4 linked regions of the Caenorhabditis elegans genome follow. The protein of the gene in region 1 purifies or fractionates together with the protein of each later gene. This does not show direct contact. Each region holds a gene or a part of one and is shown on either strand. Other genes may lie near its edges. The genes, in order: rfc-2, rfc-1, rpa-1 and F53B2.8.

Evidence for each region.
Region 2: the proteins of rfc-2 (region 1) and rfc-1 fractionate together in Caenorhabditis elegans (co-fractionation; one large-scale study listed by BioGRID). This does not show direct contact.
Region 3: the proteins of rfc-2 (region 1) and rpa-1 fractionate together in Caenorhabditis elegans (co-fractionation; one large-scale study listed by BioGRID). This does not show direct contact.
Region 4: the proteins of rfc-2 (region 1) and F53B2.8 fractionate together in Caenorhabditis elegans (co-fractionation; one large-scale study listed by BioGRID). This does not show direct contact.

What each region holds. Positions count from the first base shown.
Region 1 is NC_003282.8:1,345,659-1,353,728, forward strand, and holds rfc-2 (Replication factor C subunit 2), read left to right. Parts: upstream 1-1,655; 5' UTR 1,656-1,659; coding exon 1,660-1,806; intron 1,807-1,877; coding exon 1,878-1,984; intron 1,985-2,109; coding exon 2,110-2,233; intron 2,234-3,117; coding exon 3,118-3,196; intron 3,197-3,733; coding exon 3,734-3,909; intron 3,910-5,872; coding exon 5,873-6,127; intron 6,128-7,108; coding exon 7,109-7,225; 3' UTR 7,226-7,319; downstream 7,320-8,070. Other genes in the region: col-104 (Nematode cuticle collagen N-terminal domain-containing protein), read right to left, coding at 8,043-8,070.
Region 2 is NC_003283.11:14,642,060-14,648,371, reverse strand, and holds rfc-1 (Replication factor C subunit 1), read left to right. Parts: upstream 1-2,392; 5' UTR 2,393-2,520; intron 2,521-2,570; 5' UTR 2,571-2,626; coding exon 2,627-2,660; intron 2,661-2,716; coding exon 2,717-2,784; intron 2,785-2,830; coding exon 2,831-2,935; intron 2,936-2,978; exon of another isoform or gene 2,979-2,985; coding exon 2,986-3,754; intron 3,755-3,803; coding exon 3,804-4,123; intron 4,124-4,176; coding exon 4,177-4,485; intron 4,486-4,600; coding exon 4,601-4,998; intron 4,999-5,051; coding exon 5,052-5,568; 3' UTR 5,569-5,705; downstream 5,706-6,312. Other genes in the region: pmp-3 (ATP-binding cassette sub-family D member 4), read right to left, coding at 1-310, 700-839, 890-1,182, 1,571-1,619.
Region 3 is NC_003280.10:7,662,665-7,667,729, forward strand, and holds rpa-1 (putative replication factor A 73 kDa subunit), read left to right. Parts: upstream 1-1,917; 5' UTR 1,918-1,927; coding exon 1,928-2,011; intron 2,012-2,063; coding exon 2,064-2,117; intron 2,118-2,165; coding exon 2,166-2,247; intron 2,248-2,291; coding exon 2,292-2,397; intron 2,398-2,439; coding exon 2,440-2,684; intron 2,685-2,726; coding exon 2,727-3,028; intron 3,029-3,080; coding exon 3,081-3,176; intron 3,177-3,225; coding exon 3,226-4,110; intron 4,111-4,155; coding exon 4,156-4,269; 3' UTR 4,270-4,446; downstream 4,447-5,065. Other genes in the region: F18A1.7 (Chondroitin proteoglycan 4 domain-containing protein), read right to left, coding at 145-256, 307-574, 623-925, 973-1,090. UniProt on the Caenorhabditis elegans protein: As part of the heterotrimeric replication protein A complex (RPA/RP-A), binds and stabilizes single-stranded DNA intermediates, that form during DNA replication or upon DNA stress.
Region 4 is NC_003282.8:12,525,383-12,529,311, reverse strand, and holds F53B2.8 (Coiled-coil domain-containing protein 86), read left to right. Parts: upstream 1-1,915; 5' UTR 1,916-2,092; coding exon 2,093-2,114; intron 2,115-2,161; coding exon 2,162-2,242; intron 2,243-2,461; coding exon 2,462-2,913; 3' UTR 2,914-3,081; downstream 3,082-3,929. Other genes in the region: F53B2.5 (Importin subunit alpha), read left to right, coding at 1-14, 333-566, 609-749; Protein eak-4, read left to right, coding at 3,803-3,929.

The sequences.
Region 1 (8,070 bases):
GGGTCTCGCCACGATGGGTCTCACCACGATGGGTCTTTCCACGATGGGTCTCACCACGGTGGGTCTCGCCACGATGGGTCTCGCCACGATGGCTCTCGCCACGAAGATCTCGCAGCAACATTTTTTTAATTTTCCAGAAGGTTCTAGAACAATCCAGAATTTTTTCGAATTTTCCAGAAGGTTCTGGAACATTCCAGAATTTTCTAGAATTTTCCAGAAGGTTCTAAAGCTTTTCAGAATTTTCCAGAAGGTTCTGGAACATTCTAGAATTTTCCAGAAATTCCCAGAAGGTTCTGGAACATTTCAGAATTTTCCAGAAGTTTCCAATTTCCCTTCCAAAGACGGAAAGTCAATTTTTCATAAACTACCGTAATCCTACCGTACTCCTACAGTACTCCTACAGTACTATTACAGTACCCCGACCATATTCCACTACTAACCGCAAACCTATATCTCTTCAAAAGACAAAAACACAATTTTTCATAAACTACAGTAATCCTACAGTACTCCTACAGTACCTCTACAGTACTACTACAGTACCCCGACCATATCCCACCTCTAACCCCAAACCTATATCTCTTCAAAAGACAAAAACACAATTTTTCATAAACTACAGTGATCCTACAGTACTAATACAGTACTCCTACAGTACTAATACAGTACCCCGCCCATATTCCTCTACTAACCACAAACTAATATCCCTCCAACAGCCGAAAACACCTTGCCTTTGTAAGCTATGACGTCACTTGTTAACAAACGGACACTATTTTTTTATATATAGGTAATGATTAATTATTAATTATTAATTATTAATTATTTATTTATTTATTTATTTATTTCAAAAAAACTTTTTTCGATGTCAGGAGTCCTGACTCAGGACAAGTCGTCGTCGGAAGAAGAAGACTTGGAATGCTCACTCCGAAGGTTCCATGGCTGTCCATCGCACGTACTGACCGTGAAAAAAAATGGAATGAGTTTATCCTCTTCGCAACTTGAACCCAACGGACATCAAAGTATCAAAGTAAAGTAAGTAAGAGCTCGAGCCCAGATGCTCGAGCTTGAGCCTAAATGCTCAATCTCGAGCCCAAATGCTCGAGCTCGAGCCCATATGCTCTATCTCCAACGCGAAAAAAGTTGTAGCTGTTAAAAGTCCATGAAGTGCATCCACTTGCCACGAGAAGTGAGAATCAGCCCGAAGCCGCCACAGTCGTACATATTTTCTTTATTTAAACCGGTCAGATACACTGATAGTATTATATTTAACATATTTCTATCTGCAAAAATGCTCTTCTGCCCAGAATTCTTCTGATTCCATTTAATTCTTGCTAGAAATCGCTGAAAAAACAGCTCGTATTTACAATTTTTTGTAATTTCCGACTTCCCATTTTATCAATTTTACTATTTCTGTGAAAAAAATTCGAAATTTCGTTCAAAAATAGCGATTCTGGCTCAATTTCATGAATATCTGTTGTTTTTTTTGGCAAAAGTGGCCGCGGCCGAGGAGGAAACCTTGTCCCCGCTCGGTGTACTCCTCTCGGATAATATTTGTTTTTTGAATTTTAAGCGCGCCAAACTGATTTTCTTTGTCATTCCATGAATTTTCGTCACGTTTTTCGAGTTTTGTATCGAATTCTTATCAAATTTTCAATATTTCCAGCTATGTCAAAGTCGGAAAAGCAACAATTAGCGCCATGGGTGGAGAAATATCGTCCAAAAGTGCTCGCCGATATTGTCGGCAACGAGAACATTGTCGAGCGGCTCAAAGTGATCGGACACGAGGGAAATGTGCCGAATATTGTTTTGTCGGTGAGAAGATTGTTGAAAAATTCATTTTAAAAGTCAAAATGTGAAGTGAAAAATCGAATTTTTCCGTTCAGGGTCCCCCAGGCTGCGGAAAAACGACATCAGTGTGGGCGTTGGCTCGAGAATTGCTCGGCGATAAGGTTAAGGAAGCGGTGCTCGAGTTGAATGCGTCGGACGAGAGGTTTGTGAGAAAAAACCCTGAATAACTGGGAAAAATTGCAAAAAAATTGACTTTTTCGCTAAAAACTTTGAAAAAATTGAATTTTTCTCAAAAAAAAAATCTCAAAAAACTGCCAATATTTCCAGAGGAATCGATGTGGTCCGTCATCGTATCAAAACGTTCGCCCAGACGAAGGTGACACTTCCAGAAGGCCGTCACAAGATTATCATACTGGACGAGGCCGATTCGATGACCGATGGTGCACAGCAGGTGCGGAATTTTGCCGAAAAACTTGGAAATTTGAATTCAGCTCAACGAGAGCTTTGATTTAAGTATGAACATGACTAGGCTGCGATAATTTTGGAAATAAATCTGAAAGTTTTAGGCTTAGGCTTTTAGGCTTAGGCTCAGGCTTTAGCTTAGGCTCAGGCCTTGACTTTGGATTAGGTTTAGGCCTAGGCCTAGGCTTAGGCTCAGGCTTAGACTTAAACGTAGGCGGGATTTTTTTAAGTAAAAAAAGCCGAAAAGTGAGTGTTTTTAGTAGATTTTTCAGTTTTTTTTTGACAAAATCTAGATAAAATCGGAATTTTCTGACGAAAATATCAAAGTTCCGCAATTTTTGAGCTTTTTGCAATGAAATTGGTACAAATTTCGAATTTTTTTTAAATGAAAAATGCCATAAATTAAATGGTCAAAAATCCGGAATTTCTAGCGTTTTCCGAGACAATTTGCGATTTTTTTAAAGAGAAAATGTCAAATATCAGAAAATTGCCCGTTTTTTCCACAAAAAAAACCGAGAAAAATGGTAACTTTGCACACACAATTTCACTTATTTTTTCAGGAAAATTTACACGATAATTAATCAAAATTTTCGTGTTTTTTTTTTTGAAATTGAGCCAGTTTGGATGTCAATCTACCAGTTTTTCTGCGAGGAATTCGATTTTTTCCAATGAAAATCCCCCCAAAAAATGCAATTTTCATCCGAAAAAACCTCCTAAACTCGAAAAATTAGTCCCCCGCCACGATGATTAAAAAATTTCCAATTTTTTCGAAATTTTCGGAACCCAGTCATGATTATACTTAAATGAAAGCTCTCAACGAGCTCAATACGAATTTTGCATTGAATTTCCAAAAAAAAAAAACCAAATTTTCAGGCTCTCCGCCGCACAATGGAGATGTACACAAAGACGACAAGATTTGCGTTGGCCTGCAATCAATCCGAGAAGATTATTGGTACATATTAGGGACGGCAAACGATTTTACCGGCAAATCGGCATATTGCCGGAATTGAAATTTCTGGCGAATTGCCGGAATTGAAATTTCCGGCAAATTGGCATATTGCTGGTTTTGAAAATTTCTAGCAAATCGACAAATTGCCGGAATTCAAATTCCTAGCAAATCGGCAAATTGCCGGAATTGAAATTTCTGGCAAATTGGCAAATTGCCGGAATCGAAATTTCTGGCAAATTGACAAATTGCCGGAATTGTAATTTCTGGCAAATTGGCAAATTGCCGGAATTGAAATTTCTGGCAAATCGACATATTGCCGGAATTAAAATTTCTGGCAAATTGGCAAATTGCCGGAATTGAAATTTCTGGCAAATTGGCAAATTGCCGGAATTGAAATTTCTGGCAAATTGGCAAACCGGCGATTTTCCGATTTGCCGAATTTGCTGACAAAAAATTTCCGAACGGCACTTGCCGTCCACACTAATACAGATCTCGGCCTGGAAACTCCCCAAAAAATCGATCGATTTTTGCCCCTTTCAGAGCCCATTCAATCCCGTTGTGCCCTGCTCCGCTACACAAAATTGAGCCCCGTACAGCTGTTGACACGTGTCAAGGAGGTTGCAAAAGCCGAGAAGGTCAACTATGACGACGGGGGTCTTGAAGCGATTCTGTTCACTGCACAGGGTGATATGCGACAGGCGTTGAACAATTTACAGGTAGAAAATCCGGGAAAAGGCTGAATTTTGAGCTGAAAACGCTGGAAAAAATTGCGAAAATTCACAATTTTCTAGACCAGAATTTTTACAATGTATGTGCTTAAAAGTAGTGAAAAACCGGAAATTTTAGCTAATTTAGTTGGAATTTGGCGTTTTCCGTAAAAAAGGTGAAAAAAATCATATTTTTAAAGGATTTTTTTTCACTAAAAATTGACCTTTTCCAAATTTTCTTCAGTGAAAATCTAAAAATGTTATTAATCTCAAAAATTCCAAAATAAAATCCAAAAAAAAAAATTCAAAAAATTTTAGGAAACTTTTTAAAAATTTCAAAAAAAAATCCTAAAAATTTCACAACAATCCCAAAAAATTCCAGATAATTCCAAAAAAAAAAAAAACTTTAAAAAAATTTCCAAAAAAGATTTCCAAAAAAGATTTCCAGGAAAACTTGGCCATCCTTCCGAACTCCATAATTTTATTTTCAAAATTTTGAAAAATTGGTCTAAAAATATAAAATTTCGCTGAATGTTCTTTTTTCCTTGAAAATCTCAAAAAGTTTCATGAAAATTGGATTTCGTACCATTTTTTTATTTAAACATTTTTTTTTGTTGATTTCACCAGTTTTTTACATTTTGCAACAAAAAAACTTAGAATTTTTCCTAAAATTGAAATTTTCATTAAAATTTTCTCATTTTTTCAGTGAAAATCATGAAATTTCATCAAAATATTGAAATTTTTTACATTTTTCAGTTAATTTTTTTTTTCGATAAAGGACATCTAAAAAAGGGGTATTTTAACAATTTTTTCCCCACAAAAATTGCAAAAATGCCGATTTCCAGTATAATTAAGTGGAAATTTCATGAAAATGTGACTTGTGTGTTTCTCTATCCGAATTGATGGTTTGAATAGTGGTATTCTCGGCTGAAATATGCAATAAATACCGTATTCCAACCAACAATTCGGTGCAATAGAGCACATTTGTCACTGGAGATGCGGAAGCTATGCCCAATTTTTCAATTTTTTTTAGTAAAAATCTGAAAATTTAAACAAAAATTGCGTTTCAAAACAAATTTTCCATTTTTGGGCTGAAAACTTGTAGAAAATTTAGAAAAAGTCTTATTTTCAAGTAAAAACTATGTAAAATATGCAATTTTCCGGCTAAAAAAAAGTAAAATGTTCCGATTTTCCAGGCAACAGTGAACGCTTACGAGCTTTGCCGAGATTTTCAATTATTTTTCACGTCGATCCTCATATCTTCTCAATGTTTTTTTTTCAAATTTTTTTTTCAAATGAACCCGATTCTTGTACAGAATATGTAGTTTTGGGTCTCGCAGCGAAATTGCGCGTTTTATTAATTATTTTTATTGCACTTTAAACATATTTATAGATGGATTTTCCTCGGAACTTTAGCAATTTCATCCCAGTTGCCGAGAAATGCTAAAAATTTGGGTACGGCAACTCGGCAATTGCACACTTTTTGAATTTTTCAATTTTTGATGCAAAAAATTAATTTTCTTGGATTTTTCAAATTTTGCTCAAATCCCTGCTAAAAATTCGAAGATTTTTTAGCCTTTTCTAGTTTTTGCCGAGGAATGCTATAAATTTTGGCTCGGCACCTCGGTAACTGAACTAAATTTCCCTATATATTGTCTGTGACTTGTGTGTTTCTCTATCCGAATTGATGGTTTGAATAGTGGTATTCTCGGCTGAAATATGCAATAAATACCGTATTCCAACCAACAATTTGTGCAATAGAGCACATTTGTCACTGGAGATGCGGAAGCTATGCCCAATTTTTTTTTAGTAAAAATCTGCTGAAAATTTAAACAAAAATTGCGTTTCAAAACAAATTTTCCATTTTTGGGCTGAAAACTTGTAGAAAATTTAGAATGTCTTATTTTCAATTAAAAACTATGTAAAATATGCAATTTTCCGGCTAAAAAAGTAAAATGTTCCGATTTTCCAGGCAACAGTGAACGCTTACGAGCTTGTGAACAAGGAAAATGTGCTGAAAGTCTGTGATGAGCCACACCCGGACCTTATGATCAAAATGCTCCATTACTGTACGGATCGCAAATTCTTCGAGGCATCCAAGATTATTCACGAGTTTCATCGGCTTGGCTTCTCCTCAGACGATATTGTATCAACGTTGTTCCGTGTGGTAAAGACTGTCGAGCTGTCGAAAAATGTGTCCGAACAGCTGAGAATGGAGTATATTCGGGTGAGAAAATGGGTGGAAAATGAGCCAAAATGAGCGGCTAAAAGCCGCCCGGGGTGTTCTGAAAATTGTCAAAAATCCGCGTTTTTTGGAGCTTTGTTTTGCCGAAAAACGCGAAATTTCGTTGTTAGATCATCGGAATATCTAAATTTCGGCCTTTGTGGCTGAAAATTGCCGAAAACCACCGGATTTTAGGGATTGGTAGCCTAAAATTGGCGAAAATCGTGAATTTCGAAGACTAGTTGCCGGAAATTGCCGAATTTTAGTTTTTGGTTACCGGAAATTGAGTCCGGCAACTCGGCAACTGAACTGAATTTCCAATTGAAATTTCCGGCCAACCGTAAAATTGCCGGAAATGAAAATTTGCGGCAACTCGGCAATTTGCCGGAATCGAAAGTTTCCGGCAAATCGGCAATTTGTCGGAATTGAAATTTCCGGCAAAACGGCAAAATGGTGGAATTGAAAATTTTCGTCCAATTGGCAAACTGCCAAAAATAAAAAATAAAATTTCCGCCACATTGCCGGAATTGAATTTTGAGGCAAAATGGGAAAATAGCGGAATTCAAAAATTTCCGGCAAATCGGCAAATTGCCGGAATTGAAATTTCCAGCAAAACGGAAAATTGCCAAAAATCAAAATTTCCGGCAAATCGGCAAGTTGCCGGTATTGAAAATATCCGGCCGATCGGCAAGTTACCGGAAATAAAAATTTCCGGATAATCGGTAAATTGCCGAAATTGAAATTTCCGGCAAATTGGCAACTGAATTGAATTTCCCGGTATATTGTCTGTGACTTGTGTGTTTCTCTATCCGAATTGATGGTTTGAATAGTGGTATTCTCGGCTGAAATATGCAATAAATACCGTATTCCAACCAACAATTTGTGCAATAGAGCACATTTGTCACTGGAGATGCGGAAGCTATGCCCAAATTTTAATTTTTTAGCCCAAAACCATTAAAAAAAAACAACGAAACAATTTTTCAGCAAATCGCCATGTGCCATATGCGTATCGTGCAGGGACTCACTTCGAAACTTCAACTCTCCCGTCTGATTGCCGATCTGTGCCGAGTTTCAGCAGCGGCAACGGCTACGAGTGCCTAAAATTGTTGCCGAGATTTTCAATTATTTTTCACGTCGATCCTCATATCTTCTCAATTTTTTTTTTCAAAATTTCAAATGAACCCGATTCTTGTACAGAATATGTAGTTTTGGGTCTCGCAGCGAAATTGCGCGTTTTATTAATTATTTTTATTGCACTTTAAACATATTTATAGATGGATTTTCCTCGGAACTTTAGCAATTTCATCCCAGTTGCCGAGAAATGCTAAAAATTTGGGTACGGCAACTCGGCAATTGCACACTTTTTGAATTTTTCAATTTTTTGATGCAAAAAATTAATTTTCTTGGATTTTTCAAATTTTGCTCAAATCCCTGCTAAAAATTCGAAGATTTTTTAGCCTTTTCCGGTTTTTTCCGGAATTCCAGTTTTTGCCGAGGAATGCTATAAATTTTGGCTCGCCACCTCGGCAACTGAACTGAATTTCCCTATATAGTATGTGACTTGTGTGTTTCTCTATCCGAATTGATGGTTTGAATAGTGGTATTCTCGGCTGAAATATGCAATAAATACCGTATTCCAACCAACAATTCGGTGCAATAGAGCACATTTGTCACCGGAGATGCGGAAGCTATGCCCAAATTTTCAATTTTTCTTCTGAAAATTTTGAAATCGCTCGAAAATCAAATTTGAAAGGCATTGATTTTCAGACTAAATTTTTTCAAAAATTTTTTATTTTTGTAAAAATTACTGGAAATTAAGCTCCGCTTAAATTTTTTTTTCTTCTGGGGGATCTCGAAAAACGCAGTTTTTTACGCAGAATCTGAATTTCTTATTGAAAAATCTTTATTTCGATAGTAATTATCTGGAAAGTTTGCTTCTTGGTGGG
Region 2 (6,312 bases), on another chromosome or scaffold:
CAGAACACCAGCACGATAGAAGGCGATTGCTTCGACATTCGAACGAACTTCCATATGTCTTTGTCGGAAATCTCCTTCCATTTTCTCCTGTTCTGATACTTTTTGAACAATCGGAGACAAAATCATCTTGTTGATAATTGTTTGGATACAGAAATAGGTGTAGATCGCTGCGGGACCAATCCAACCGGAACTTTCATAAGTTAGCCATGTGTAATATCCAATTATGAATGGAGCTGTAGCAATTGGAGCTAGAAGATCATTGGAAAGGATTCGAGTGGCTTTTTCAATATCTTGGGTTAGACGTTGATCTCTGGAAAAATATCGAATTTAAATAATTTAAATTGAGAGAAAAGTTTTTCCTTTCAAAATTAAATTATCACGATAAATTTTTGATCGTTAAATCTTGTGTTGACATGTTGGTACGCGCATTTTAAGGCATCAAATTTTATTAATTGTTATAATGTGCCTATATCAACAAATTAACGCGAAATAAACAGCAATAAAATATGATATTTTTATTCTAAGCTGTATTTTAGCTGTTGCGACAATGACAAGTTGAACAAATTTCAAATTCTAGCTTAACTTGGTTTTTTCCAAATTAAGCGAAAAATCTAAAAACTCATAGTCAGCTTTTCAATTAAAAGAAAAATTGTAAAATATTATTTGATTTTATAAAATTAATTTATATAAAAAACTTACGGATTATCAAGCATATCCCCAGAAGAAGATAGCTTGAAGAAAGCTTGTCTCTTGAAATATAACCTATGCATCGTGAGATTACATACTTGACGACTTTTGATCGCTAACATATTTGTAAGATATTTGAATACTGCTAATGTCTGAAATTAAACGCTAATTAGGATGAGAAAATATCGAATTTCGATCTTACAAAAGCTTTTCCAAGAATAATCGCGGCTCCCCGTGCACACAGAATTTTAAACGTGTCAGCATCCTTGTTTCCCAGTGCCACGTAGAACAGACTTGGCTGGATTCCAACTAAATACGTCATTACTTGATCGAGAGCAGTTGCGATGAGCAGTGCTCCGGCGAGCCACGCGGTTATCGATCGACGATGACATGGAAACAGGATTTTAAGAAGACGCCAGAACCTCCGAAAGAAGAGGAAGTCGAGGGCCAATCTGGCCATTTTGACCGGATTTTGGGCCGAGGCGTTTTTGCGACCTGAAATTTTGTGATTAGGAAGGCTTTTTTCAGAAGATGCCCCAGAAATAGACATTAAGAAGAGGAGGAGTGGAGTTGAATTCAAGAAAAATAGTGAATTTCAGTGGAGATTTTAGACAAACTTGAAGCTTTTTTTATGACTGGACAATTCTACTGAGATCAACCGGAGCAAAAAACAAAGCATTTTTCTGGAATTTAAAATGTTTCAAGGAGAATATTTAAGACAACCAAACACCATTCAAATCCGAAACAAAAAAGAAAAGAAACGTAGGCCGGCCATACCATCCCATTCAAACCAAATGAGGTCGATAAAGGCGTTGAAAAGAGCACAAAGAAATGAGCACAGAGACGTGGACAATGAAGAACAGAAATGGATAATGATTATCACCTTTTTCTGTTCGTACTTCTTCCAGTTGAATTTCTTGATCCGACTCCATGCGGGATGTGCAATCTGGAAAGAGCTGGCTGTGAGTGAACATGCAAAAACATAATTTATATTTACAATAACAATAGAGATAACGACGATCAAAACAAAACTAAAAAACAAAAGCTATTCAAGGTGCTGCTGAGTTTTTGTGCATTGATAACAATTCAGTTTTACAGAAAAAAAAACAGAAAATGAAGCTTTCGGCATAAATTATTACAATTTTATGTTCCAAACATAAATAAACAGACTATAATGATTCGAATATTTTGAGAAAAAGCTTCAGTTTTCGACGGTTTTGCAGGAATAAGTTCGGTCAGCTGTACACGCAAATACATTTGCGTCCGCACACAGTGTAACGAGGAGAGTGGGGGACAGGAGAAAGTGAGGCAAGCGGAAAGAGAGATTGCAAACGCAGACGATGAAGAAAAAAATGATGGGCGGGGAAGCATTGGGCACTTTTTGGGGGAAAGATGAGGACCCTTTGATATTCAGAATTTTATATTCAGATTTATAACGTGATTCGTGCGAGGAGAATTATCAGTTTTATATAGGATCTTTGAGTTGAAATAAGACGAGAATTTAATTTTTTATCAACAAAAAATCGGGAAGATATGTAACGAATTTCTTGAACGGAAAATAGCAAGGAATCTTAAAAATTTATGAAAAATAAATTGCAATTTTCATACTGTAGAAATTAAAGGGACATTACGAATAAGCCGAATAAGGCCTCGGCACGATTTCAAAAATGCAAATACGCTCTGTTGGAATTTGCTTTTCCCGCTCAGTTTTTTAAATTTTAAAACTTTTTTTTTCATTCTTTTTCATTTTGGCTCCTCAAGATTGTTCCTGCTTTTCGATCGTTTTTTCGAAACCGAAAATTACGAAAATACACCCAGATTTTGGCGATTTTTGTAAGCCTTTCTATAGTTTTTAATCCCCAACAAAAATTATATTTTTTAAGCCGACGGAGAGAATCCAATCCCTCGACATTTACGGAAGATCGCCTCAAAAAAGGAAATGAGTACAAAAAGAAAGATTGTGGTTTCTTCGGGTAAAAAACAAATTGCATTCTGTGCAAATGTGTATTACGAAATTTCTTTTTTTAAGATTCCGATGATGATATGCCATTCACCCAGGAAAAGCAAAAGAAGGCAGCGACACCGGCGAAAAAAAGGGTTCGGAAATTCATGTGAACTGAACCCTCATTGAGAAATGTTTCAGACAAAGCCAGTAGTACTAACCGATGACGACGAAGAAGAAGAAAATGCACCTCAAAAAAAGACTGCACCAAAAAGATCGAGAAAGCAAGAAAAAGAAGAGAGCGATGTGAGAAAGCACTCTAATATCCATGAAATATCGCAATAATTAGCTTTTAGATAACCTCTGACGAAGACGAGCTCGTGCGCGGAACTGATGAAAAAAAGAAAAGAAAGGGTGGAAAAAAGGAGTTACCAGTTGGTCAAAAAACGCTGGATTATATGTTCAAACCTTCTTCGTCATCTTCGAAACGTGATGATCCTAAGAAAAAAGTCGAAAAAACATTAGTGAATCCCGCAGACTTCTTCAAAAACTCACCAGCGCCATCTGCATCAAAACTTCCAAAAGTTGCTCCGAAAACTGTTGAAAAACCAAAAACGCCAGCTAAGAAGCCAGTGGAGATCAGCCCGTCGACCAAAGAAAACACTAAAACAAAGAAAGTGTCGGACGATGAGTTCGTAGATTCTGATGATAGTTTTGACACGTTCACTCCTATTACTGTGAAAAAGAAGACACCTGAAAAGAGAAAGGAGACCCCGAAAAAGAAAGAGCTTCCTTCTGTCAAAAAAGAATTCCCAAAGAAGCAATCAATTCCTGTCAAAAAAGAAAAAGAAACTCCACAGAAAAAGGCGTTATCAGTGAAAAAAGATCCACCGAAAGTAACCTCCGAGTCATCTTCGTCGAGTCAAGTTTCCACGTCATCAGTCGTTTTTCAACCGAAACCAAGTGGGCCACCCCCAGCACTTTCATGGGTTGATAAGTATAAGCCGAAAAGGATGGGAGAACTTGTTGGCCAGAATGGAGACAAAAGCCCAATTAATAAGCTTTTGGAATGGATTAAAGACTGGGCAAAACACAATCTTGGCGAAGGGGCAAAAATTAAGAAGCGTAAGTAATTTTATTTCTATTTTATTATAATATTATCGGCAATTTTCAGCAAAACCAGCTCCATGGATGTCATCTCAAGATGGTACATCATTCAAAGCAGCTCTTTTATCGGGTTCTCCTGGAGTTGGAAAGACTACATGCGCCTATATGGCTTGTCAACAACTGGGCCTTCAACTTGTCGAAATGAATGCATCAGATGTGCGTAGTAAGAAACATCTCGAAGCGAAAATTGGCGAACTCTCTGGTTCTCATCAAATTGAGCAGTTTTTCGGAGCGAAAAAGTGTGCTCCACAAGATAATCAAAAGGTTCATCATATCCTGATTATGGATGAAGTCGACGGAATGTCTGGAAATGAGGATCGAGCTGGTGTGAGTTTAAATGAAGAACTAATATATTAATATTCAAATGTTTATTTTTACAGATCTCTGAGCTCATCCAAATTATCAAGGAGTCTAAAATTCCAATTATTTGCATTTGTAATGACCGGCAGCATCCGAAAATTCGTACACTGGCCAACTATTGCTATGATCTTCGTTTTCCAAAGCCACGTGTCGAGACTATTCGTTCTCGGATGATGACCATCTGTTCTCAGGAAAAAATGAAAATTGGCAAAGAAGAATTGGACGAAATTATCGAGTTATCCGGTCATGACGTCCGGCAAACAATTTACAACCTGCAAATGAGGTCAAAGGGAGTTGGAGCAAAGATCAACCAGAAGGATATGGCTGTGGTAGGTCTCCTAGCCGTGAAATTTTGCGATTTTCGCGCCAAAAATGGGGTACTTGGTCTCGATACGAAACTTGCGCCTGGTTATACAAATTCTGAAATCTTAACAACATTTTCAGGATGCATTCTCGGCGGCTCGTCGTCTCCTGGATTCTCGTACGACATTAATGGAAAAGCAGGAAATGTTCTTCACTGACTATGGAATCATGCCACTTTTCGTCCAGGATAATTATCTCAATATGAAAAATGAAAAGCATAGTCCAATCCAAGCGATCCGTGGAATACGAAAAGCTGCAGACTTCATTTCCCTTGGAGACCTTATTGATCGGCAAATTCGTGGTGGAGGATCCTGGAAGTTGCTCAATGAGCAGAGCATGATTTCTGCTGCACTTCCAGCGATTGCCACTGGTGGACATTTGAAGGCAATGATTCAGTTCCCATCGTGGTTGGGAAAAAACTCGACAGCTGGAAAACGGAAGAGATTGCTTCAGCAACTGGTTCAACACACACATCTCAAGTAAGTTACGCTAAATTCATTATGGGAATTAGGAATTTATTTATTACTTTCAGAGTTTCTGCTGGTACTCACTCATTTGCCACTGATTATGCTCCAATGCTCCGTCAGAAAATAACGAAACCACTTCTTGAACATGAAGCTGATGGAATTCCAGATGTGATCAGCACAATGACAGAATACGATCTCATCAAAGACGACACTGAAGCACTCACAGAAATTGTTGCTTGGCCTGGAAAAATTGATCCGGCTAGTAAAATTTTGAGTAAGGTGAAAGCATCATTGACTAGAACTCTAAACAAGACTGGTCGAATGCTTCCATACTCGATGGATTCTGTGTCAAAAGGAAAGAAACGAGGTGTGAATTCAATTGGAATTGAAATGGACGAAGAAGGAAATCTAGTGGAGAAATTTGAAGATGAAGATGGAGAATCCGATAATGAGGATAACGAGGAGAAAACTACTGATGTTGTTATTAAAGTTAGGACTGGTGGAGGTGCCGGAGCTTCAAAATCTGCTCGAGGTGGACGTGGTGGTGGTCGGGCTCGTGGAGGAAGAGGAAGCAAGAAATGATTATAGATGTCCAGTATTATTCTAACTATTACCGTAAACTTGCAATAAACCCTCTTGAATGATCACTATTTCGACAAAGCAGATATTCTTGCAGGAAAACTATTAAAAACTGGATAAAAAATCATGTTACAACGATTTATTTGAGCACGATGAAACAATTTAATTTTAGTCATTTTGCACCAGGAGGACAACGTATTATGGTTTTGCCAAAAATGTTGAAAATTTCGTTCAAGATCATTGAGATATTCACAACTGTTTTCTATATTTGTCAAGTTAGTTCGCATTGAAAGAGAAATCAACTCTGACTAAATTGAAGACAATAGAATCGTTGTGAAAACTGGATGAACCACGAAATTTCGCGATATAGTGGTCTTTCATAAAAAGGAATGAAATCGTAGGGAATTGGACCAGCAATTGTGAAAGCATCGGGAGGGATTGTAACATAGAAAATGTGGTAATGGAGTGCACGTGGTGTCAAAGTGTCCCATATTGGTTTGATCTACGTAGAAAACGTCGTAGATCTACATAAATGCGGGAGAAGAGACGCAGAGTTCTCAACTAATTTTGCATGGTTAAAAACGTGCCGACGTCACATTTTTTGGGCAAAAGATTCCCGCATTTTTTTGTAGATCAAACCGTGATGTGACAACCTGATACCACGTGGGAGTGGACTAGAAAAACTAAGCAAGAAATATGGATAAATGGAGAAAAGAAGAATAGAACTGGAGGAGGAAGCAGGAACTA
Region 3 (5,065 bases), on another chromosome or scaffold:
CTTTCATCCGCGTTTGAGAAAATGATTATTGAAAGCGGTTTACAGTTTACAACTATTTATTCGATATATCAACATATTTGTGTCGGGTGATTATTTACAATTCGTGGGTTTTAGTGAGTACTGGAATCATGAAATGAGATGCGATCAAATGTTATCCATGTTAAAAGCCTTGAAATCGCCGTTGCGAATGCGGTTGAGACGAGTTGGGTTAATTGCAAAACGGCATCTTTTATCGATTTTCTTACTGATGACATCCCTGAAATGTTTAGTTACATAGCATATTTAATAATGATCGCACTAACTAACCTCAATGCTGGTGACAATTGATCAACCATTACAGAAACGGCATCGAATGGTTGCATAAGCATGTCCAGACTAAGCCATCCACTCAAGGCACACTTGCTGTTGAGTCGCTTGGTGACACATGGGAGAGTACATTGCAGAGAGTTACAAAGTTCTCCAAGATGATCAGCAACAATAAATACATTACCTCCAACTGTAGCAGCGAATTTAATGTTAGAATCTTGAGCGAAAGCAGTTAGGTTTGAACGAGCATAGCATTCTTTGTCGCAGCCTGAAAACGATTTTTTGATGGTGGGCAATTTTTCAGAAAAAAAATTACCTGACATGATATCATCAACGACAGGGTTGAGACACGACTCCATTCGCTCAAACAGAACGTGCTTTGTGGCACACATATATTCAACACTGCTGCTGGCTTTTGCGAAGAGCTTGTTGTGATCACAGTACTGTTCTTTCTTCAGACAAGTGATAGCCTGTGCATGATGACCACAGACTTTGCGAGCTTGATGTACAACATTCTTCATGTTCCACAGAGACGTCGTAGAATTGATGAACGGGTCGATGCACTTTCGCATGCAATATGGAACTCCAAGAGCGCGGAAAATTGTGTCGACGTCGAGGGCTGAAGTGAAACTTTAATCTTAAGCACACAATAATCTAGTTTTTTACCTTGTTCTTCGTGTGGCACGACATCTTTGTCGTCGTGTACCGATTCGATGGCACCATTTACACACGAGAAGAACAGAAAGATGGCGGGAAGGAAGAAGGCGAGATGGAGATGGCGCATCTGGAATTATGTAGAAGTTTTTTTTCCGAAATGGGGGTTAGATATTAAGCAGTTTGAAAGTGGTCTAAAAGCTTTCGAAAACTTTTATAAGCTTTCAAGAAGGTCATATAAGGAAAAGAACAGCTAGGTAGAAATGAAGTGGGTAACTGATATAGCCGAAACTTTACATAATTTATAAAATGAAAATTTATCAAAACTGACAAATGAAAATAAAACAAAATCCGAATTCTTTATGCGACTTTTCTGATTTCAAAATTTAGCGCGTCAATAGAAAAGTTAGATCGGCGGGAAAAAACAATTTCCAAACTACGGTTTTGATGGAGGTCTCGAAGCGAATACCGTACCCGGCAAGATTTACGCAGGTGGTCCGAGCCATTCATTTTTTTCTTTTTCAAATGTGAATTGCTTTGTTGAGAACCTGCAGAAAATCTTCATGTTTGGACGAAGTATTGACTTTTAGAATGTTTTTGTTCAGTATTTTAACCCTCTTCCAATATTGCGCTGCCATAATTTCGATTCATGCGATTTTGGCCGATGTAAAACCTTCATCAAAATTTCAACAATTATTATTGTAATCTTTAAAACTTCTCAATTCCTTTTTTTAATATTTATTTGTTTTCTCATATTTTAATTCAAGTTGTGCTCGATTTTCTTTGACTAACAGAAATTCCCGCTTTTCGGCACACATTTCCCGCAAACATCACATTCTACGCCATTTTTTTTGGCGCGTATCCGGCCTGTAGAGAATTCAAAATTGAATCGTCTCCCCTTCATTTGTTTCTTCATGTTTCAAGCTTTTTTCCCCAATTTTTATGTATCTGTTTCAGATAGTGAAAGATGGCGGCAATTCACATCAATCACGATGTCTTCAATAAGTATCATACTAACGGGAAACTTCGACTTACAACAGGCTATGTTCAGGTAAAGAAATCAATGTAGAAAACCAGGAAATTTAATTTTGATGAATTTTCAGGAGGCTATCGAAAACAATGGATATCCTGGACATGATGGAATCGTTCAAGTTTTGGTACTTTTGACTAATTCAAAAGTTTCGCAATAATTCGATAATTTTCAGAAAGGCAAAGTAGAGCAAGGAGAGCAACTTGGTCACGCATTCACTTTCAGAATTCGTATCTCAGACGGTGTTTTCCAATACAGTAAGTGAGTTTGTTATACTCTGATATTTATTTATGCTTTGAAGATGCGCTCATGTCCGCTGATATCGATGACCAAATCAAACGTGAAGTTGAGCATCTTGTTGAGGGAACAATTATCGCTCTTACTAAATTTGAAATCTACGACCAAGGGTGAGATTATAACATTATTGAGTCCTTCAATGTATTTTTCAGAGAAGGTGCTAAGAATTGCTTCCTGATCAAAGGATACAAAATTCTTTCTCGCTATCATCAGGTTTTGACCTCTCCAGAAGTCAAGCCAAGATCTCATTCTGGCAAACCTGATGAGCACAAAGGCTATAGACCAAATATTATCATCGAAGATGTTTGGCCTGAAGCTGAAGGAATGGCTGCTGATTACCAGGAGAATATGGCAAATCCACCAGCAGCAAAAGCGCCGAAAAGAGAATTCGGAGAAGGTAAAATCTAAGAGTTGTAATGTGTGTAATTCGAGTTTTCAGAAGCCTCATACAATCGTGCCGCTGCTCCAGAGGCTACACGCGCTCGAGCTGTTCCACCACCAGCACGCCGTACCGCGTCGAACACAGAAAGAGGCGTGATGCCTATTGCAATGGTTACACCGTACGTATCGAATTTCAAAATTCACGGAATGGTATCACGCAAGGAGGAAATTCGTACTTTCCCAGCGAAAAACACGAAAGTGTTCAACTTTGAAATAACCGATTCAAACGGAGATACAATCAGATGTACCGCATTCAACGAGGTTGCTGAGTCCTTGTACACCACAATCACCGAGAATCTTGTTAGTATTATTTTAATCGGATTATGCATAATAATTAATTTAATATTTTCAGTCTTATTATTTGTCTGGTGGATCAGTCAAACAAGCAAATAAGAAGTTCAACAATACTGGACACGACTACGAGATCACACTTCGCAGCGATTCTATCGTTAGTAAATTTAAAGCGATTCATCATAGCTAAAATATTAAATTTTCAGATTGAAGCTGGAGGTGAATTGCTTGCTGCTCCAAAGCTCATACTCAAACGAGTGAAGCTAGGTGAAATCGCTGGATATGCTGGACAACTGATTGACGTTCTCGTCGTGGTTGAAAAGATGGATCCAGAGGCTACCGAATTCACTTCAAAGGCTGGAAAATCTCTGATCAAGCGAGAAATGGAGTTGATTGACGAGTCTGGAGCACTTGTTCGATTGACACTTTGGGGAGACGAAGCAACAAAAGCACTTGTTGATGACTATGTTCAAAAAGTAATCGCATTCAAAGGTGTTATTCCAAGAGAGTTTAATGGAGGATTCTCTTTGGGAACTGGGTCAGCAACTCGTATTATTTCGGTGCCAGAAATCGCTGGAGTGTCTGAACTCTATGATTGGTACGCAAACGTGAAACCAACCACTGAAGTTAAGATGATGAGCCAAGCTGCTGGAGGATCCAATGAAGCTCCACGTACTATTGCAGGACTCCAAGAAATGCAATTTGGAAAGGATTCCGACAAGGGAGATTACGCAACTGTCAAAGCAATGATTACCAGAGTAAATCCTACGAATGCTCTTTATAGAGGATGCGCTTCAGAGGGTTGCCAAAAGAAACTTGTGGGAGAAAATGGTGACTACAGATGCGAAAAGTGCAATAAGAACATGAACAAGTTCAAGTGGCTGTACATGATGCAGTTTGAACTTTCGGACGAAACCGGACAGGTCTATGTCACAGCTTTCGGAGATAGTGCTGCGAAGATTGTTGGAAAATCAGCTGCGGAGCTTGGAGAATTGCACGATGAAAGCCCAGATGAGTACAACGCTATTTTCGAACGCCTTCAGTTTGTTCCAAAGATGTGGAGACTTCGTTGCAAGATGGATTCGTACAATGTAGCTTTATTTCTTGAAGATCCGTTATGATTGTTTTCTTTATAGGAAGAAGTTCGTCAGAAGATGACTGTCTATGGTGTGGATGATGTCAATCAGGACAAGTACATCGAAAATCTGAAGCAAATGATCGAGCAGATGCAACAAATGAGTGACTACTAAATGTTCTGTTTTTTATTACATCGTGCCGATCTCGACTGTTTCATTTAAATCTAAAAAAACCTAAATATTATTAAAACCTTTTTTGAGCCTAAAGTTATCACATGTCTCACATCCACAATCGCTGATTTTGTACAATGTTTTTCATCTCATTTACTAGCGAATAAACTATACGATGTGAGCCTATCTTTGAGTGCCAGGTGACCTCGAGATGTGTTCTGAAGTGACAGCATTGGGTCGTTGCAGCGTCCTTGAGAGCGGGTGACTGCCCGACAACAAATGGCCTTGGGTTGCCACATTTATCCTACGTCTCTCTGCCCACGACCACATTTTCCATTGCTAACCCGCAGGTTCGTGGGCAGCCAGCGAGCTCTTTGAGCTCTCTTCGTCTATTTCTCTCTAACGCTGTCTTTTTTTTTGTCTTATTTTCCATGAAAGACATTGGCGGATTAGTGGAAAAGACTAGTGACTTTCATTTACAGAAACGTCTTTTATCACCTGTTTTGATTTTCCAAAAAAATAAATTCCGTAATGATTTTATTATGTTTCCAAACAGTTGCAATTTGAACACTCCTTTCAAATTGTTCGTCCAAACTAAGCCGTGCTGAAAGAAAATTTCCGTCTTATATTTTGAGTGTAGCTTTTCTGTTGCAGTTGTTAAGATTTGTCGATGCAATTTAGGGTTATGCAGCTGACCTTATGGAGTGTCTGGGAGAGCACACACAAATGCGTTCCCAACAGAAGGTGTTCTCCGTGTCTATTCCCAATAAAGGTCATCTCCATATGCTCATCCCGTTTC
Region 4 (3,929 bases), about 11 Mb from region 1:
AACGCTTGAGAAAGGTAAGCTGATATAAAATTATATGAACAGTATTTTATTTATTAGACATGCACCACCATTGTTTTACATTGACAGGGCATATATCTCGATTCACTTCCGTTTTATCAAAAAATTGTCAACTGAAGAAATACGTGCAAAATGTTTTTCTACGTTTTGATAGTGAAATTGTTTGATAACACTTGAGACAGTCAAGATATGAGCCGTCAAAGTGAATTAATGAGGGTGCAAGTACAATAGAGACAATACTGTAGTTAGCTTTGAACACATCTTTTGAAACAAAATTTATTTTCGAGCTTAGAAATTATCTATGGTTATTTCAGGAATGTCTGTGGATTATTGGAAATCTATTGGCAACTGCAGATGAGCATCAAACGTATCTTCTCGTCTCCTTAGGAATAGTACAGCATTTTCCAGCTCTTCTCGATTTTGATGATGTTCGTTTGAATGAAAAGGCGGCGACAACTGCAACTGAACTGCTCCGTGAGCATCCATGGCAGTACACATTGTTCCAACGTTTGGATATTTTGGGATGTATTGAGAGAGCTGGAGCAAACGTTAGTTGAATATCCTTAGACTTAACAATCCGTGTGTTTCAGTTTTCGATTCAAAAAGCCGAACTGAAATCTTTGATGAATGACTTGGCGCCACCTGAACGGAAAGATGAAGATATTGCCAAAGGATGTTCTGTGATTTGCTACAGCAAGCTCTCAGACGACTTTCACAGCATGAGCATTTGAATTTACTCGTTTGAAAATAAAAATACGAATTTTGATTGTGTAGGTTTAAAATATCAACCCATCAATCAGCAGAAAATGTTGTCTAATTACGTTTCTGTGATATTTAAAATTACTTGAACATTTCCAATACACCTGTTTTTATTTGTTCACTCGAATTCCAATCAGATTACTGACAGATTACTGGCTCTTCAACTGCGATTTTTCTACCGGTTTGTGTACTCTTTTTGGACAATTAGATGTTATGTGCACTTCCTGAACAGGTGCATAAACAATTGATGAGATGATGATGAATAGATGGATTAGGAATGGGGGAAAGAGGATTTTAAATGTTTTTGGAACATAGGGGGTAATTACCGGTAATTGATTTTTTCCAAATTTCTTCACTCCTAAAATATTTCAAGTTTTCAGGCAACAAAATGTGAGAAAAAGGATTTTTTTAAAGTTAAATATGATCAGTAAAGTGTCGGCTTCCATGATTTTTACAAATACACAATTATTATAACATCTCTTTTAGGTTTTTAGGTAGATTTGCATTAACTTTGCCAAAACTATTCGACTCTTCCAACTACAAAAATGTTTTCCAGTTTGAATTCAAATACCCGTCGTCCTTTTCTATTTGCCAATTTCCGGCGGCAATGTGATGGGATAGTGATATGACAATCTGTTACTCATTCCTTTTGGCGGTTTTTGTAAGGAACAAAAGCACTTTTTCTAGATTTGAATTTGAGTTGGGGAGATGTTGAACGACGACGATGAGCTGTTAGATGTTTTAAATCTTGAATTGTATAGTAATTCATAAGATTAAAAATCAGAAAACTTAAAAACTTAAATTTGAATATAAATATACCATAACTTTATGTCATCGATAAAAATTGGTCACACAGTAAAAACCGAGGGTTGCTGTACCTGGCAGTAGTCTGAAAAAATCAAATGTTAATGAAAATTTCGAATATTAAAAAATTTAAAACATTGCCTAAGTTAAAATTTTCGAAATGCTGAAATGCTTTGGGTGTAATATTTGTTAAGCATATTTCTAGTGAATTTTGTAGTTAAAAATTTCAACACTTTGATTTCGCAATCCCGTCACCCATCTTTTCCCTCTGGGTCTCACGATTTCCCCATACTTTCCAATAATCTTTCCTGTCAACATTCCCATTTCACATGACATTTTCAATTTTAATACTACCTTACTCATAGTCAACATCACTATTTCAGAATTCCACACTTATAAACATTATTGATGATAAAAACTCTTTGATAAGAAATTGATACAAAAACCCTCCTCAGTGCCTGCAATTTCAGTGGTTACTTGTACTGCTAAAATCAATTGCTTTGAACTGAAAATGCCAATGGGCAAGAAGTTGTGTAAGTTTTTAAAGTCGAGAAAAATTTGAAAATGCTCAAATTTACAGTGGGAAAGCTTAAGAGAAATAAGGTGGAGGAGCCACAGGTGGAGCCGGAGGAGGATTTGGGAGATGCTATGAGTACGCAAGGTTAGTAAGGAATTACATTTGACTTTTAGTGTTGAGCGTCGATTGTAGTGTTCGGAAAATTTTAGTTCACTGAACGGTATAGCAAATACGCAAATTTGACGCGAAAACTTTATAAACAACAGATTTGACGAGCAAATTATCGTAATAAATCTATGTGATAAGTCTAGTTTACGTTTGGCAGATTATATTACATACTCGAATGAGATTCGCAAATTTCAGAAAAAGATGACGTGAAAGTTGGGAAGAAAAGAGCCCCGAAGAATAACATGGGTGGAAAGAAACGACTGAGATCCAAGCTGGGAAATGTTGGGAAACACCAGAAAAGGGTACGCTCCAAGGAAAACACTCCGGAAAGAAAGCTGGAAAAATTGGAGAAACTCGAACTTCAACTGACCTTAAAACGAAGTCGAGAGGAGCAGAAACGAGCCAAAAAAGATAAGAAACTGGAGAGAAAAGCACTGAAGATTCAAAAAAAGTTGGAAGCTTTGAGAAGCATCAAGGAAAAACCACATCAAGGCTCTGAAGCACAAGGGCCAAAAGTCCCCAGAGCCAGAAAGATCCGGGTACCAGCCCCAAGACCACCCCGTCTTCCATATTTGGCTCTAGTCGCCAATCTTCATAAGGCTCCGAAAGCATTGCGTGATATGAGAGCTGCTGCTTCACGCCGTTAGTGTGGGCTTTGGATCATTTGGAAGAAAAAAAAATTGTTAAGTGGAAAATTAATAAGAAGAATATGAATCTGGATGTCAAATTTAATTTGTGGACGTTTTGAATTTTTCACTTTGAAGTTTTTATTTGTTAATAAAAAATGTTTGATTCAAAATTTACAAATTTCAAATCAGCATACCAAAATCTTCGAAATGTAATCATGATTCATGAGAGGTCTCGCCATGAAAACTAATGGTTATGGTAGATTTTTTCAATCTTATTCGAAATTTCAATTTGAAACTTGATCTTCAAAGTGAGACCACATTTCCCACTAACGTTTTTTATCTGCTCACTATCAGATCAAATTTAAGATTCAGAAAACTTGCTAGCTACAGTAACCGACACGTTTTGTAGTGAGACCCGATCTGCTTCGTAAAAATTCACATCTGCCTTGTAAGGAGACCTACACCTGATTCCTGCCTACAAAACGTGCCTATAGACTTGCAAAATTATTTCCGATCCTTTAATTGTTTGCAAAAATTCAGATGCCTAGGCAGTAGGCAAGCTTGTAGGCAGGCAAGAATACAGTAGGAGGAAACGTGCTTGCCTACTGGAATTTGGGAAATTTCTTCATAATCCGGTAAATTAAATTTTAAGGAGAATTCAGACTGTTCCCACAGCAATTTAAATCCACTTCCCTTTCCAAATTTCTGTGTCTCACTCCACTTTTGTTATAATTTTACGAATTTTTATTGCTTCCCCTTTTCCTAATTTACAGTATTCCTTGTTATCGAAAATATGTATGAATTCTGAGAAAAATTGGTCAAAAAATATAAAAAGACAAAAAACAATTAGCAGCCCCAGACCATCTCGACAATTTCCCCCATTCATTCTTACTTCCTCCCCACCATCATGGGACAATGCCTTGCCGTTCATCGCCGAATCATGGCGTCACAGGAGTTTCCGAATATTCCTCAGCCGGAGTCGCAGTGTCATGATGCATTTATCCGGTATTCCCCAGGAAGATACGAACGTCGGG